Caenorhabditis elegans: one gene and its partners. The protein of the gene in region 1 purifies or fractionates together with the protein of each later gene. This does not show direct contact. Each region holds a gene or a part of one and is shown in the gene's direction. Other genes may lie near its edges.

Evidence for each region.
Region 2: the proteins of aars-2 (region 1) and mppb-1 fractionate together in Caenorhabditis elegans (co-fractionation; one large-scale study listed by BioGRID). This does not show direct contact.
Region 3: the proteins of aars-2 (region 1) and C30G7.3 fractionate together in Caenorhabditis elegans (co-fractionation; one large-scale study listed by BioGRID). This does not show direct contact.

The regions. Positions count from the first base shown.
Region 1 is NC_003279.8:3,981,326-3,987,128, forward strand, and holds aars-2 (Alanine--tRNA ligase, cytoplasmic), read left to right. Parts: upstream 1-1,857; 5' UTR 1,858-1,879; coding exon 1,880-2,023; intron 2,024-2,073; coding exon 2,074-2,262; intron 2,263-2,312; coding exon 2,313-3,483; intron 3,484-3,533; coding exon 3,534-4,209; intron 4,210-4,279; coding exon 4,280-4,832; intron 4,833-4,885; coding exon 4,886-5,059; 3' UTR 5,060-5,256; downstream 5,257-5,803. UniProt on the Caenorhabditis elegans protein: Catalyzes the attachment of alanine to tRNA(Ala) in a two-step reaction: alanine is first activated by ATP to form Ala-AMP and then transferred to the acceptor end of tRNA(Ala). Also edits incorrectly charged tRNA(Ala) via its editing domain.
Region 2 is NC_003282.8:9,073,115-9,077,121, forward strand, and holds mppb-1 (Mitochondrial-processing peptidase subunit beta), read left to right. Parts: upstream 1-1,558; 5' UTR 1,559-1,562; coding exon 1,563-1,595; intron 1,596-1,641; coding exon 1,642-1,764; intron 1,765-1,813; coding exon 1,814-1,900; intron 1,901-1,960; coding exon 1,961-2,090; intron 2,091-2,143; coding exon 2,144-2,529; intron 2,530-2,612; coding exon 2,613-2,717; intron 2,718-2,772; coding exon 2,773-2,892; intron 2,893-2,943; coding exon 2,944-3,040; intron 3,041-3,088; coding exon 3,089-3,384; 3' UTR 3,385-3,457; downstream 3,458-4,007. Other genes in the region: Nuclear hormone receptor family member nhr-11, read left to right, coding at 106-254, 305-406; mans-4 (alpha-1,2-Mannosidase), read right to left, coding at 3,480-3,618, 3,661-4,007. UniProt on the Caenorhabditis elegans protein: Catalytic subunit of the essential mitochondrial processing protease (MPP), which cleaves the mitochondrial sequence off newly imported precursors proteins. Preferentially, cleaves after an arginine at position P2.
Region 3 is NC_003283.11:14,941,580-14,947,666, reverse strand, and holds C30G7.3 (MADF domain-containing protein), read left to right. Parts: upstream 1-1,962; 5' UTR 1,963-2,061; coding exon 2,062-2,082; intron 2,083-2,146; coding exon 2,147-2,213; intron 2,214-3,485; coding exon 3,486-3,583; intron 3,584-3,738; coding exon 3,739-3,858; intron 3,859-4,119; coding exon 4,120-4,271; intron 4,272-4,645; coding exon 4,646-4,964; intron 4,965-5,010; coding exon 5,011-5,094; intron 5,095-5,447; coding exon 5,448-5,492; 3' UTR 5,493-5,537; downstream 5,538-6,087. Other genes in the region: C30G7.4 (Matrix-remodeling-associated protein 7), read left to right, coding at 545-883.

The DNA.
Region 1 (5,803 bases):
AATTGTTATAATTTTCAGAAACGCTCGCCAAAAACTTTCGGAAAGGACCGGAAAATGTTTCATATGATTTGAAGAACATAGAGAAAATTATACGTTCAAGAAATTTAGAAATAGTTCCAGGAAACTTGAGGTTTTAAGTTGTAATTGCTCAGAACTTAGTTATATAATATTTATGTTGCTCGAAAATTTCCGGTAATCAGGGAAAAAACGTTCCATCTGCAAAGAAGGCTTAGAAAATTTAGAATTTGATTTCAATTTTGAGTACGCCAGTCGGAGCACGCGCTTCAGCGCGTGCGAACGGCTGGTATATATATATATAAGTTATTGGTAAATTGTAAATAAGTTTGTAAATGGTTTAAAATAAACCTCACAATATTTTGTACTTCTTCTTAATTGATTCTTCGTTTCTAAAATTACTTGAATAACCCAATAAGAAGTAGCTTTGTCTTCAGTATAAAGATCAATTTTTTTGGCGATGGATCACTTGTAAATAGTAGCTGAAGTCTATATTTCTTGCTCTCTACATTCAAACCATGCATATGAAAAGAATCTGTTCTCGTGAACGTATGTTCTATAGAAGGCACCTCCAGGATTCGCTTTCGAACGACCGATGCAGATTTTTTCGAACAAAGAGATAAAATGAAAACGTCTGGTTCATTCATTTCCTTGAGCAATTGTGAATGAACCACACTTGGTAGAGAGAATAATTTGACGGACATTCTAGAAAAAATTCTGTAATGTTGCGTACTTGGTTTAAAGTTATGCTATACAACTAAATTAATATCCAGTTGAGAAAATGAAGAAAGTTTAAATAAATGTAAAATTAAAAAAAAATACAACGATTTTCAATCAAAGATTAGAGTGAGTCTTTCGGAGAAAAAGAGCAACTCAATGACCAGCTTGAATTTATCGATCTGACAAGACAAGAGATTTTATTTCTGAAGAGCGACAGTGATATTCCATTTTCCTTCGGTTCTTCGTATTATTTTCTCATTTTTCGCTTACTATTAGTATTATATCGATTAATCAATTATTTTAATTGTTTTCGAAAAACGAGCCCGTAAATCGACACCACAGTAGTCATTTACATAATTACTGTAGTTTTCGCTACGAGATATTTTGCTCGCAAAATGCTGCTCAATACGCATTCTCAGAATTTTGTGTTCCTGTACTAAAAATCTATTCCACGTAATTCTAAAACTAAAGGTTCACAGATATATCAGTTTTTCAGATTTAACACTTTTTTCGGGTTTTTTTGTAATTTCCCAATTTTCTTAAAATTATCATGTTCGGCACTATCTTATTATCTATCCAGTTGTTTTTTTTTCAAATGAAAATCAATTTATTGCTCCACAGAAAAACATATTGAATGCGGTGTTGACAAGTTTTACCGAGTGAGAGACTACACAAATTTTAGAGATGGAAAAGAGAACAATGTGTGCTGGGTCTTTTATGAATCGAATCGTTTACAAATGGATTTGCGTTCATTCCTATTTCATTTTGATGATAAAAATGAAAGAAATTGACCAAATTTTCTACCGCAAAAAATTAAATTTTGAAAATGAAGTTTTCCCGCGGTTTTCATAGAAAGTGTGCGGCGCTTGCGTTTGGACTCCGCCCACCTCACTGAAATGTTTCCCGCACTCATTCTTCATTTTATTCGCTATTCTTGTCTTTTTCCGCGCTTCCGCTTTCTTCCGCGCACTGTTTCGATTTTTCTTTGTTCAGCTTCCTCGTTCTCGCACCCAATTCGCACCGAATCGAATTCGATTCATTGCGAAATCTCTCGTAATCTCGCCTCCCCTATTTTTCGTCGTTTATAAGTTAGCAAAAACAATTTTAAAGTTTTTTCTTTCAGAGCAACCTCTCCTGGGTTACTATGAAGCACCTGACTGCCTCAGAGGTCCGCTCTACCTTCATCAACTTTTTCCGAGAGAAGAAGGAGCACACTTATGTACATTCGTCGTCTGTTATTCCGCACGATGACCCAACTCTTCTTTTCGCCAACGCGGGAATGAACCAAGTAAGAATATTCAAACGGCTTTTCTTGCAATTAATAATTAAAATTTTCAGTTCAAGCCGTTGTTCCTCGGAATCGCCGATCCAAACAGCGACCTTGCCAAGCTGAAAAGAGCCGTGAACACGCAGAAGTGCATTCGCGCCGGTGGAAAGCATAACGACTTGGACGATGTCGGCAAAGATGTCTACCATCACACATACTTCGAGATGCTTGGAAATTGGTCTTTCGGTGATTATTTCAAGGTTAGAAATTGATTTAGTTAATTAAATTTCTTTAAAAAAATAATTTTCAGAAAGAAATCATCACATGGGCTTGGGAACTTCTCACAACAGTATACGGAATCCCAGCGGAACGTCTTTATGTGTCGGTTTTTGGTGGCGACGAGGCAAACGGAGTCCCCGCCGACTCTGAAGCTCGTGATATCTGGAGATCCGTCGGAGTGCCAGACGAGCGCATTTTGAACTTCGGTATGAAGGATAACTTCTGGGAGATGGGAGATGTTGGACCATGTGGACCATGCTCTGAGATTCACTATGATCGCATTGGAAATCGTGACGCATCTCATCTTGTCAACGCCGATGATCCAATGGTTGTTGAAATCTGGAATCTTGTCTTCATTCAATTCAATCGCGAGGAAGGAGGCGTCCTGAAACCATTGCCAGCGAAGCACATCGATTGTGGTCTTGGACTCGAACGATTGATTGCTGTGATGCAGGATAAGACGAGCAACTACGATACGGACATTTTCCAACCAATTTTCGAGGCGATTCACAAAGGAAGTGGCGTTCGTGCCTATACTGGCTTCATTGGTGACGAAGACAAAGACGGAGTGGACATGGCATATCGTGTAGTTGCTGATCACGTCAGAACATTGACCATTGCTCTCTCTGATGGTGGCCGTCCGGATAATTCTGGAAGAGGATATGTGCTCCGTCGAATTCTTCGTCGTGGAGTTCGTTATGCCAGCGAAAAGTTGAATGCACAGCCTGGATTCTTCGCATCACTCGTTCCAGTGGTTATTTCAATTCTCGGAGAGACTTTCCCAGAACTCAGCCGTGATCCAGTGACCGTCATGGATATCATCAACGACGAGGAGAAGCAATTCCTGAAAACGTTGTCTCGTGGACGTGTTCTCTTCCAACGCGCTGTTCAATCGCTTCCAGAAGGAACCATGACGTTCCCTGGAGATGTTTCATGGAGACTCTACGATACATATGGATTCCCAGCTGACTTGACTCAACTGATGGCCGAAGAGAAAGGATTGTCTGTCGATAATACTGCTTTCGAGGAGGCTCGCAGGAAAGCCATCGAGACATCATCAGCTGGAACTGGAAAGTTCCGTGACACGCTGGATTTGGATGTTCACGCATTGGCTGAGCTTCAACAGAAGGGAGTTCCAACTACCGACGATTCGCCAAAGTACGCTTACACGTTTACTGGAGAAGGATCCGATGCTGTGTACAGTATGTTTTTTGTTTGTTTTTATGAACTTGTAATAATTATTTTTCTTCAGAGTTTGAGCCATGCGTTGGAAAGATTCTTGCTATTCGCCGAGACGGAAAGTTTGTCGATCAACTTGCTGCCGGAGAAGAAGGAGCCATTCTTCTCGATCGGACAAATTTCTACGCCGAGCAGGGAGGTCAGATCTACGACGTCGGAGTTTTGACAAAAGTCAATGACGAGTCGAACGAGTTCAACGTGAGCAACTGCCAAGTTCGTGGTGGATACATCGTGCTTGTTGGATCCGCCGAAGGAAGCTTCTCAGTCGGTGATCAGGTCAACGAACGATTCGATGAAGACCGGAAGCAACTGATCATGAAGAATCACACCGGAACTCATGTCCTCAACTATGCTCTTCGCAAAGTTCTCGCCGATTCGGATCAGAAGGGATCACTCGTTGCTCCAGATCGTATGAGATTCGACTTCACCAACAAAGCTGGAATGACTGTTCAGCAAGTGAAGAAAGCCGAGGAATACGCTCAACAGCTGATTGACACAAAAGGACAAGTTTACGCCAAGAACTCGCCACTTGGAGAAGCCAAAAAAGTCAAGGGACTTCGTGCGATGTTTGATGAAACATACCCAGATCCAGTTCGTGTTGTCGCTGTCGGAACTCCAGTTGAGCAACTTCTCCAGAATCCTGATGCAGAGGAGGGACAGAACACGACTGTCGAGTTCTGCGGAGGAACGTGAGTACTAATTCTTTTTATATTTTATGATGATACCCGTTAAATTTTGATATAATTTTTATAATTTCAGCCATCTCCAGAACGTGTCTCACATTGGCCGCATTGTCATCGCATCGGAAGAAGCTATTGCTAAAGGAATCCGTCGTATCGTTGCATTGACAGGACCAGAAGCTGAAAGAGCCATTGCCAGAGCCGATCGACTGACTGCTCGATTAGAAGAAGAATCGAAGCATGCCGATAAGAAGGATGAGCTCTTGGCCAACAAGGATAAGTTCAAGGCTCTCCAGAAGAAGATTCAAGAAATTGTCGATGAAGCCAACGGAGCTCAGCTGCCATACTGGCGAAAGGATTCTATCCGTGAAAAGGCAAAGGCCATTCAGAAGACTTTGGATGGATACACAAAGGCACAACAAGCCGCTGTCGCTGAAAAGGTTCTTGGAGAAGCCAAGGAACTTGCTGCTGTCGCTGAGCAGCCTACTGTTCTCGTTCACGTCTTCGCCGCCAATGCTAACAGCAAAGCCATCGATAATGCTCTGAAACTTCTCAAGGACACAAAAGCAGTTATGGCTTTCTCTGTGAATGAAGATTCTGGAAAAGTTTTGTGTCTTGCTAAAGTTGATAAGGTGAGAAATTTGAAATTTTGAAACAATTCAGAAAAATAATATAATTTTTTCAGAGCTTGGTGAGCAACGGCCTGAAAGCCAACGAGTGGGTGAATGAAGTTTGCACAGTTCTCGGTGGAAAAGGTGGTGGAAAGGACGCAAATGCTCAGCTCACCGGAGAGAATGTCGATAAACTTGATGCTGCCGTCGAACTCGCCCAGAAATTTGCCCTTGCTGCAATCAATTAATTTCCCCAATTTTCAATCTATTTCCTGTTTTTCATATCGCTTCCTTTCCTCTATTTATTGTTGTCTGTTGCATTCTAGTTCATTGCTCTCCCTCCCCGTCATTATATTTATTTCGTATTTCTATTTTATGTTTCAATTTGTTTGCTGGTTTGTCGAGGTTTCAAAATGTTTATGCAGTAAATAGAGGCCAAACTTTTTCCCATTTCACGAAAACAACAATTTTGAGTGGGTTGGACGCGACAGCTGGACAGCTGCTCAACTCGCGGATCAACAACACCTCGATCGATTTCAAAAAAAAAAGTACCTTCGACTTGTCAGCCAACAAGTTTCGAAAGATTCTGGAGATTTCTGAAAGTGACGTGGCATTACACTTCAGACATCTCTAATTTGTGGCACAGCTATCTGAACATTACAATGGACAAAAATGTGAAGAACAACAAAAGAAACGGAACGGCAATGAATTCCAGATGGCGATGAATGTGTTTTACGGAGGAAAAGAGCAGATTTTTGCAATTTTGCAGATTAGAAAAATGATTTGAGAACAAATTCCAGACATATGCTTAAGAGATAAGTTTCTTGATTCCCGGTCGTGTACTGCTCTGGGACAATCAATTGATAAAAATATTAATATATCTATCCAATATATTCAATTATATATCCAAAAAGATATATCCAATTGAATTCGGGCGATTTTTCGTGTTTTATCATGAATTCTCTTGTTTTTCTAATGAAAATCGATAGTTT
Region 2 (4,007 bases), on another chromosome or scaffold:
CATTTAGATTTGTTTTAAATAAAAATTCAAATACGATATACATAAGTTCATAATCTTTTTAAAAAAATGTATTCAACTTTCAAATTAATCCTTCAATAATTTCAGCATACTTCAAGCTAACTGAAAATGGCCGTGAAAAATGTCGTAGACAAAGGAATATCATAATTGGCTTTCTATCAAAAATGTGTCATTCACCAGGTGGAGGCGGAGAGCATCGTGTTGGAGAACTTCTGATGAGTATGAATTATCTCAGGGTTTGTTTATTTTTGTATAACAGCTATCCAGCAAACAAAGGATATTACAGGAATCTGCTCAAAAACTCACAACTTCTTACGTGATGCTCACAGTTTTCAATGTTCTCAACTGTGATTCAATGCTTCATGAAATGCTTAATTTTCAATACTAGCTAAATATTTGTGTGAAAGTGTTTTATTATGTTCAAATTTTATTGTTTTATCATGATCGTCAATAAAACAAGGGCAAATACTGTTTTACTACTTGATCTCTTACTACGTGATCTCTTTTACTATGATTTGCATACATAGATCTTTTACGACGTTTTACTCTTTTGCTACAACCGTATTTTTTACTCCGTTATCCCATTTCGATCTTTTGCTACAGTTTGTATCTTTTGTTACGGTGGACATTTTTACTACAATGACAAGGATTGTATCCTTTACTAATGATTTTTTACTACATACGAATTAAAAATTAATTTTCATAGTACATATATTCTAGATATGAACAAATGTATGAATATTTTTTAAAAATGCATAGGTCACAGTTTTAGTTTGTTCTCAAGTAGTTCTAGTAAATTTCAGTTGTTTTCTTTTGATGGGATACTGAGTTGGAGTTCATGGAGAGATACTGTTGGGTTACTGTAGTTGTACTGTGGTAGTAAGAGTTTTCAGATTATATCGTTTTTTTTTTTAATTTCTAGAAATTGATTCATTATGAAATGATCAGAACTTATTATGAACATTTGGCTCTAGATATTAAAAAAACACGATATGCTCTTTTGTTCTCTTGTAATCATGAATAAGGATCGCTAGATACCCACTCCTGTTTGTGCGCGATTATAAATAATCCCCGAAAGGACATTTCCAAAATTACCGTTTCCCTGGACATCGTTTTCCAAAAATACAAGCTCTAAACGAGAGCCCCTTGATGTTTTTTATTTGGTTCGAAATTTTATATGTCTGCATAATCTGAAAAATTAATTGGAAATTCCGAAGTTATGAAATACCGCGTGCAATTGTTCAAAATCTTTTATTCAAACTTCCGCCTTTTTGCCCGCGGCGGCCGCGTTTGTGAAAGTTCTTCCATTCGCTACGTACACCTCGTGGACAAAGTTAATTTCACTTTTTTAGAAGCATTTTCTGCAATTCTGTTCAATTTTTGTTTAATTCGTTACTCTAATCGTTTTGTTGTATCAATGTCAGCAAAAAGATTTTTATTCCAGTATTACGTAGATTTGTTTGTGTTTAGCCGACAAATTGAGCTTCACTATTGCGTAACCATTGTTTCCTTGAAAATAGAGCATATAAATTTTTTTCAGATAAATGTACAGAAGACTAGCCTCCGGCTTATATCAGGTAATTTAAACAATTTTGTTTACAGTGAAAGTAATTTATTTTTCAGACTTCCCAAAGAAGAATCGCACAAGTTCAGCCGAAATCAGTATTTGTCCCAGAAACAATTGTAACGACACTTCCGAATGGGTTCAGAGTTGCAACAGAAAACACAGGTGGATCTACTGCTACTGTAATTATTTTTCCTAAATTATTTGTTTGTTCAAAGCTATTTTTATTAGATCGGAGTATTTATTGATGCCGGCAGTCGCTACGAGAATGAGAAAAACAATGGAACAGCTCATTTTCTAGAGCATATGGCGTTCAAAGTTAGTTTAATTTAATTTTTAGAAAATTTTGAATTTCATATAAAAATCCGAATTTTTCAGGGAACGCCTCGCCGGACTCGAATGGGATTGGAGCTTGAAGTTGAAAATATTGGAGCTCATCTAAATGCGTACACTTCTAGAGAAAGCACGACGTATTATGCTAAATGTTTTACAGAAAAGCTTGACCAATGTAAGAAATAAAATTATTAATGCAATTTTTAAAATATCTATTCCGAATTGCAGCCGTCGATATTCTTTCGGATATTCTTCTGAACAGCAGTCTTGCCACTAAAGATATCGAAGCAGAACGTGGTGTAATTATTCGAGAAATGGAAGAAGTTGCACAAAACTTTCAAGAAGTTGTATTTGATATTCTTCATGCTGATGTTTTCAAAGGAAATCCTCTTTCCTATACAATTCTTGGTCCAATTGAATTAATTCAAACAATCAATAAGAATGATCTTCAAGGATATATTAATACACATTATCGAAGTGGCAGAATGGTATTAGCAGCAGCCGGAGGTGTCAATCATGATGCGATTGTTAAAATGGCAGAAAAATATTTCGGAGAGCTCAAGCATGGAGATTCTTCAACTGAATTCGTCCCAGCCACTTACAGTCCCTGTGAAGTCAGTTTTTGTTTGAATAAATTCGCTATCAGCAAATATTAAATAGAATTAACAAAATATATTTTTAAATGTTTACATTTCAGGTTCGAGGTGACATTCCAGATCTTCCAATGTTGTACGGAGCGATGGTTGTCGAAGGAGTATCTTGGACCCATGAAGATAATCTTGCCCTTATGGTGGCTAATACGGTACTTTTTTAAAAAATATTTTTATAACTTAGAAGTTGATAGTTCATCATTCCAGCTAATGGGTGAATACGATCGTATGCGTGGATTCGGCGTGAATGCTCCAACTCGCTTGGCTGAAAAATTGTCACAAGACGCAGGAATTGAGGTTTTCCAATCATTTAACACGTGCTATAAAGTAATGAATTCCTGGGAAAAAAAACTCTTTTTACATATTTCTGTAATTCAGGAGACAGGATTAGTTGGAACTTATTTCGTAGCTGCTCCGGAATCCATCGACAATCTTATTGATTCAGTTCTTCAACAATGGGTTTGGCTTGCGAACAGTGAGTTTTTATTTAACATAGTCCTGAGTCAACATCTTTCATTTCCAGACATTGATGAAGCAGCGGTTGATCGTGCCAAGCGCTCCCTGCATACGAATCTACTCCTAATGCTCGATGGCTCAACTCCAGTCTGTGAAGATATTGGTCGACAACTCCTTTGCTACGGTCGTCGGATACCAACTCCAGAATTACATGCCCGAATCGAATCAATCACAGTCCAGCAGCTCCGAGATGTTTGCCGACGTGTATTCCTTGAAGGACAGGTCTCTGCAGCAGTTGTTGGAAAGACGCAGTATTGGCCAGTTAATGAAGAAATTCATGGAAGATTGATCAGAATGCAATAGATACATGTGTTATAGTTTATTTGTTAGACAAACGTTTTGTTTTTGGTAAAAATAAATTCTAAAAACCCGTCAAAAAGTGAAAAATACAGCATCAGTCAATTGTAAATTGGAAGTGGGTGGGCTTCAGTGTTGAGAACCCATCGATCGAGTGGAAGGATTTCTTGATCATCAGCCATTAGAAGGTAAAGGTATTTGAGGGTCTCAGCAAGGAAGAATGATTCCATTTTGTCACGTCTGAATTTGAATGATTAAAAATTAAACAAAATGCTGACAAACCTTTTGATCTTCTTTCTGAGCACATTGTCAATTGAGCTGTATCCACCAGTTTCCACTTTTGCATACTTTTCAATCGACTCAAAAGCTTTCCATCCCCACTCTTGATATTTCTTATCTTTAGTAACACGATACAAATAGAACCACGCTTCAATTGCTTCTGGACGGAGAAGTGAATGAGCATCAAGATTCTTCACATAAGTATCCGCTTGTGTCATATCAGAACTATCCTCCATATTGAAATGTATTATTTCTGGTCCAAGTCCTGTTGGATTTTCATACATTTTATGACAAACATTTCCAATATTTTTAGCCATTTCCAAATGTTCATTGTCATGATCAAGACCATT
Region 3 (6,087 bases), on another chromosome or scaffold:
CCAAAAATTTGATATTTTTTGATGTTCCTTGGAGCAACAAAACTACTGAATTCTGTAATTTCGAAATTTGCCGAGCTCGGCAAATTTGCCGCACAACCCTGATGCATGCAGCATTCTTTTCTTTTTTTTCACATTCTCAGTAACGTTCCCCACATCACAATGAAGCAATGCACCTACGAAACAATTAAAGAATTTTTTCACTTGCAGGTAGCCCTCAAAAGTACGAAAAAAAAATTGAAACCAATGTTTTTCTCGCCAAATAATTTGTTTCATCGGGAAAATAATAACGAAAAAGTTTCACAATTAAATATTATTAGTCACATTTCCAAAATAAATCATCATCAATTGTTTGCGATAACAAAAAAAACTTCGGAATTCTTAACACCTAGAAGCAGCCGTCTGAAAAGTACAAAAGCTATTATATTTATGACAAAAATGACATTTAAAATTGATTCTATATTTTCAGAAGCTGTAAGTTTTTTCCAATTCAAAAACATATAGGATACAAATGATTTCTACTTCAAAGAATTCCAGAACTTCAAACATGGCAGTTTTTGATTTCATCATTGGTTTCGGCTTCATGTTAATTGCTCTTTTTCTCATTTTCCTATACCTCAACAAGGATGGGCACATTTCAATAGCTATCAAAAAAATATTAACGAATTCAAGACAAAAGGCAAAAGATTTGAAGGATGGTTCAACATCCGACCCATCAAAAACGACACCAGCCGCACCTGCATGCTCTCCAGTATCAAATGAGGAAATAACAATACCCTCAGATGTTCAATCGGTGAATAATACTTTATCAGAAATTTCATTGTCAGAAGCTGAAGTTCAAGTTGATGAAGAGAATCCAAATATTGTGAAAATCCATGTAATTTGATGACTGTTCGCATTTCTAGTCATCATTTTGAAATTTAATAAACCAATGCGACATCGTAGTTTACTTCACCGTTGTCAATTTTTGTAGATGTACTGAAAATGTGTTTGAAATTTGTCCAATTGCAAAAATAATAATTAAAAGCTGACAATAATCATCTATTGTTCACAATGACGAAGAAATTCTAAATGCTTCTTACATAGAAGCCGACTGATAAATATAGAACTATAATATTTATGACATGATAGCATCCAAAATTGTTTCTATATTATAAAAAGCTGTAAGTTTTTTGTTCAATTTGATGGGATGGCAGCAAAAAAGTTACAATTCGACGTTAAACCATCACAACCCAGATTGACCTCGCAATGAAATATTTGACCAACTGTAGATTAAAAAACATATACCGTATTATTTCTATTAGTCTTGCACCAACAATGCTTAATTCCGAGATTTTTAGAAGATAATTTAAGTTATTTTCGTAGCATTAAGCCATATTGGTTATCATGATATCTGACTCAAATTTGGTGTCTTGGCTCTATTCTCGTGCAAACACCAAAGTCGCGTTAAAATATTTCATTAACCTAGGGAACTGCCACAAAAGTTGCACACTTTATTATCCACGACAATTGATTTCTTGGCTTTTGTGAATAAAAAATAATGTTTTTCGTAAATGAAAAATTTCAAATGATGGATTTTCCGGAAATTAATAAAAAATTATCAATTTTTCAAAAATTAAAATTTCATATTATCGACTTTTCAAAAAAAAAAAATTAAAACTTCACATTATCGATTTGTCAAAAATTGAAAATGGCAGATTACCGATCATTCAAAATTTATCGATTTTTACAGGAAGATGGAAAGTATGTAACTCTGAAATCTAATGTCGTGGAAAATGGTTTCTACTCGGGAGTCTTATAGATTTTTTCTCATTAATTTATTGATTTTTGTATTGTCATGATCTCAATTTGAAAAAAAGAAAGAAAATGTAATAATTATCGATATATTTTTTTAAATAAAACTGTTTTTGAAATTAAATCTTCACGTGGCCTTTTCGAATTTTGTTATTCTCAACAATAATCGATAATCCGTGAGATTGATAAAATCGATAAATTTCAATTATTTCTCACTTTTATACTCGTCAATACCACATTTATTACTCGCCGCTTATTCACATTACTCCAATGAACTGCAGACAATCAAAGGTGAGGTGCACGAGAAATGCGCCAGCATTTGCTTGCGCAATTCACGATACCGTATATTTTTCAGAAAAATTCTCACATCTGGGACAACGTCTGTACCGCCGGCACTCGTCGTAATCCGTATTACGTCTGCTGTGAGTTTGAGAGTCGGGAAAAACTGATAGTTTTTGTTGTTTCTGTTCAAAAATCGATAATTTCTCAAAAATAAATATTTTGAAAATTTAGAAAATATCGATTTTTCCGTAAAATCTATATTTTACACAAAAATTTTCACCTACGTGTAATTATCGATTTTTGTTCCAGAAAAGAGTTAAAATTAAAATTTTCGAATTATTGATTTTTTTGTTGGTAAAAATAGCATACAGGGTGGGCCAAAAGTATGGTAACACATGAAGCGCTCTTTTACATGAGCTTTTCGCGCGACTGCCACGTCATACGTACATTCTTCTATCGAATACTGATAGCTGAATAAATTTCCTTCAATTTGACTCAAAATTTGTAATGTTTCCCAATAAGGTGCGATCTTTATCACCTCGACAATTTGGCGAACCCTTTCGAAAAAACGGTAATTTGGCACGCGGCACTTCCCACACAAACACACCTCCCACGCACGCCAATAATTTTCAGATGTATGATTTTTATGTTAAATTGAAAGTTAAAGAAGTGAAGAAGCGTTTTTAATTGTTTTTGTAGCATATAAAAATGTTCTGTGTCGACACTGGCGCCTAGCAAGAACCTTTGTATATTTCATGAATTCAACTTTGCGAAATTTACTCAGTTTTTTTGGTTTCGCAAGGCGTAACGACCCACAAAATCATCCGAGCTCAATTTTCTAAAAAAATTCTGGAAAGTCAGGTCAAAACGTCTCGAAAAATACTAAAATAAATTTATCTGAATACTGCTACTCGCCGCTCACATCCATCTTTCTGGCGACTATGCCATTCAAGACTTAACCTACTGCCGCAGTCCATGACAGAAATACCGTGATAGAAAATATTTTGATTTTTGTTTTTAAAGAATCTCTAGACCAAGGGCATTCTTTGAACTATAAAAACTTGTAAGACACTTTATGGATTCCTCAAGAAAAATGTAGAAATCCCGCAGAATGCCGACTTGCGTGCCATAAAGATCGTGATCTCAAAAGTTCTGAAGGCCTGCAGCAATGCGGATGGATATATTTTGAAAATTCAAAACGTTCATCTGGTCAGTATTTTATGGAGAACAAAACTTGTACAAATTGATGTAATAACTCTCTCCACTAGTAAAGTTATAGAGCTGCAAACGTGTTACCATACTTTTGGCCCACCCTGTAATTCCTAAAAATCAATACTTCGAAAATATTTTTGATTTTAAGTAAAAAGCGATATTTTTTCACGTTCTTTTTTTTGATTATCGATTTTATGCAGACGGCACCACCGGCTCCACCACCTCATCACTGTCAATTTTGGAATTTTCACGTGAACAAATCACCGTAGTGTCGCCACGTGTCAAATGTCCCCTCAAGGTGAGAATATTGGAAAAAAATCATTTCAAAATTTGATCGCTGTACAAAATGCCATTTTTAACAACTATCTATCGTCAGATTCCGACCGGAAATGTATTGATTTTTTGATTTTTTGGACTAAAAATCAATAAATCAATATATATTTTTATTTTCAGCAAAAAATTGTGGAAAAACCGAAGAAAAGGAATGTATATGTCACGAACTGGGATCGTGCAGCGGCGGAGCAACCAAAGGCACTTGCCACGTGGATTTATCAGCCATTTGATAAGAGAAAGGTGGGTCGAGAATTGCGCCAAGGCTCTATCATTTTGTTGGCTTGTTGGACATCCTATCAGAAAGACATACCTGAAATTTCAGTTCGATAAGACTATTTTGAGCAGTGTTACCAGGCCTTGAAGTTTCTTATAAGATTAATCGACCGCGTCGCAGGTTGTTTGCTTTGACTAGTTGTAACTTTGCTCCCAGTGGATTGATTTGAAATTTTTTGTGTGGCTAGCTGTGTATTATTACGTACATTCAATTCAAAAAATTTTCAGTACAACAACCGCACGGCATCCGACGCCTTCGACGCCTACCAACACCGCCTGAAACTGAAAAAACTGCCCGAGACAAAGCAAAAAGTCACAAAAACCACCAAAAGACATGTGACTATCAATGAAGCGGCGACTCAAGTCATTCAGGATGTGTGGTGAGTTTGCACTAGAAACGCGCCAAGGCACGAGTTTTGCGTTAAGGCGTTAACAGTAGTATACATACATACATCAGAAATCAATACAGAGAAATCAATACACAGCTCTACGAGCATTTTGAACAATTTTGAACAGTTACGTAGATTTTGAACAGTTACGTAGATTTGAAGTATTGAGAAAAACCGCGACGCAGACTAAAGTTTTGAACCACTGTAACTTTGCTCGCACTGTTCGAAGACTTTCAAAATTTTTTGTGAACGCTCCCAATGTAATTGTTAATATGATGACGTCATCATTGCTCCTTGGCGTATTTTTCGTGCCATGACGCAATTCTTGATCATTAAATTTGAAGCCCTAATTTTCCTAGTTTCAGCCACCTCCAACCGAAATCCTACCAAAAAATTCGCATATCAAATTGTCGAAATGATGAGGTGAAAATCGATAGTTTCTCTGCTAACCGAGTTCCAAAAGACGATGATATTGACGACCTGAACGTGAATGTTCCAGTTGAAGATGATGATGACGTGGAACTCGATGACGTCATCCTTGCTCAAAATCCGGCGTTTTACGGCACAATTGAAGCGGAAAAGTGTGCAGAACGAGTTGCCGCACATCTATCGATGGCCTGTGAAAACATGGAACGTTTGCAATTTGTGACGGAAGCCGTGTATCCACAGAGCGCCGCTCATTTGGTGAGTGATTGCCTAATATGGAAAATAAATATTGATTTTTTTGCAGAAGAAGCTTCAAGAAATCGATGATGACGTCAAGGATTTCAATTGTCAGATGAGACAGCGTCGTGTCAAAGCTTCGAATCCAGGAGTACGTACTTTTAAGTTTCTGTGTGAAATTTCATGGCTGGACCGCGACGCGACACGAAACTCATGAAATTTTTGAAACTTTAGCGTTTTAATTCAGAACATCAAATTAGATGAAAAAAATGAACCACAGAAAATTTCAGAGCTGTAGCCACATTTTGAGCAAAGTTAAGGTGGTTTGAAAGTCCTAGCGACACACGACGCATGTCAAAACTTGCAGTTACCCTAACTTTGCTCTTAGTAGACACAGAGCTCTGAAATTTTTTGAGCGTGCTCCCCATGCAATAGAAAACTTGTTTGCGCAATTTTGGTGCCTTGCAAACACCATAACCGTGTAAAAATATTTTATTATTCCAGGGAACAGTCACAAAAGTTGCACACTTCATTATCCACGGCAATTGATTTTCCTCGATTTTTGCGAATAAAGAATTTATTGATTGGATTTCCAATTTTTTAAACCTTTTTTGTAGTCACCTAACAACCCGGATTTTCAAGTAGATTTTTAACAATTTTCAGGAAAGCGAATAACTGGAAATAATGCCTAAGTGCCTAAGACTAAGCCTAAAAATGAGCCTAAGGCTAAACCAAAAAAAATCCTAAGCCTAAGCCCTGTGACATAAGCCGGCAAAGTGAAGCAAAACGGCTTGTTTTTTGCGCTGTTATGAGCTTCATTCTTATTTGTTAGACCTTGTGTGTCCCCAAGCCAAGCTATTTCGTCGACATGATGATAAAAATTGGTTTTTGATTTAAACGAATTTTTTGACGCCATACTTATTTATTCGAGAAAAAATAAGCATATATAAAATAGGAAATTCAACAGAGAGTCAAACAAATTAAACGCTTTTTCAAACTGAACTTTCAGGAAAAATAGCAATACGTTTTATCTGAAAAGGGTTGTTTGCTATTATATTGTTTTGTTGCAGAGAACTTATTAATAATATTTATTTTTAAAAAAACCATGTTTTTAAAATTGAAACCAGATACCAAAATAAAAAAA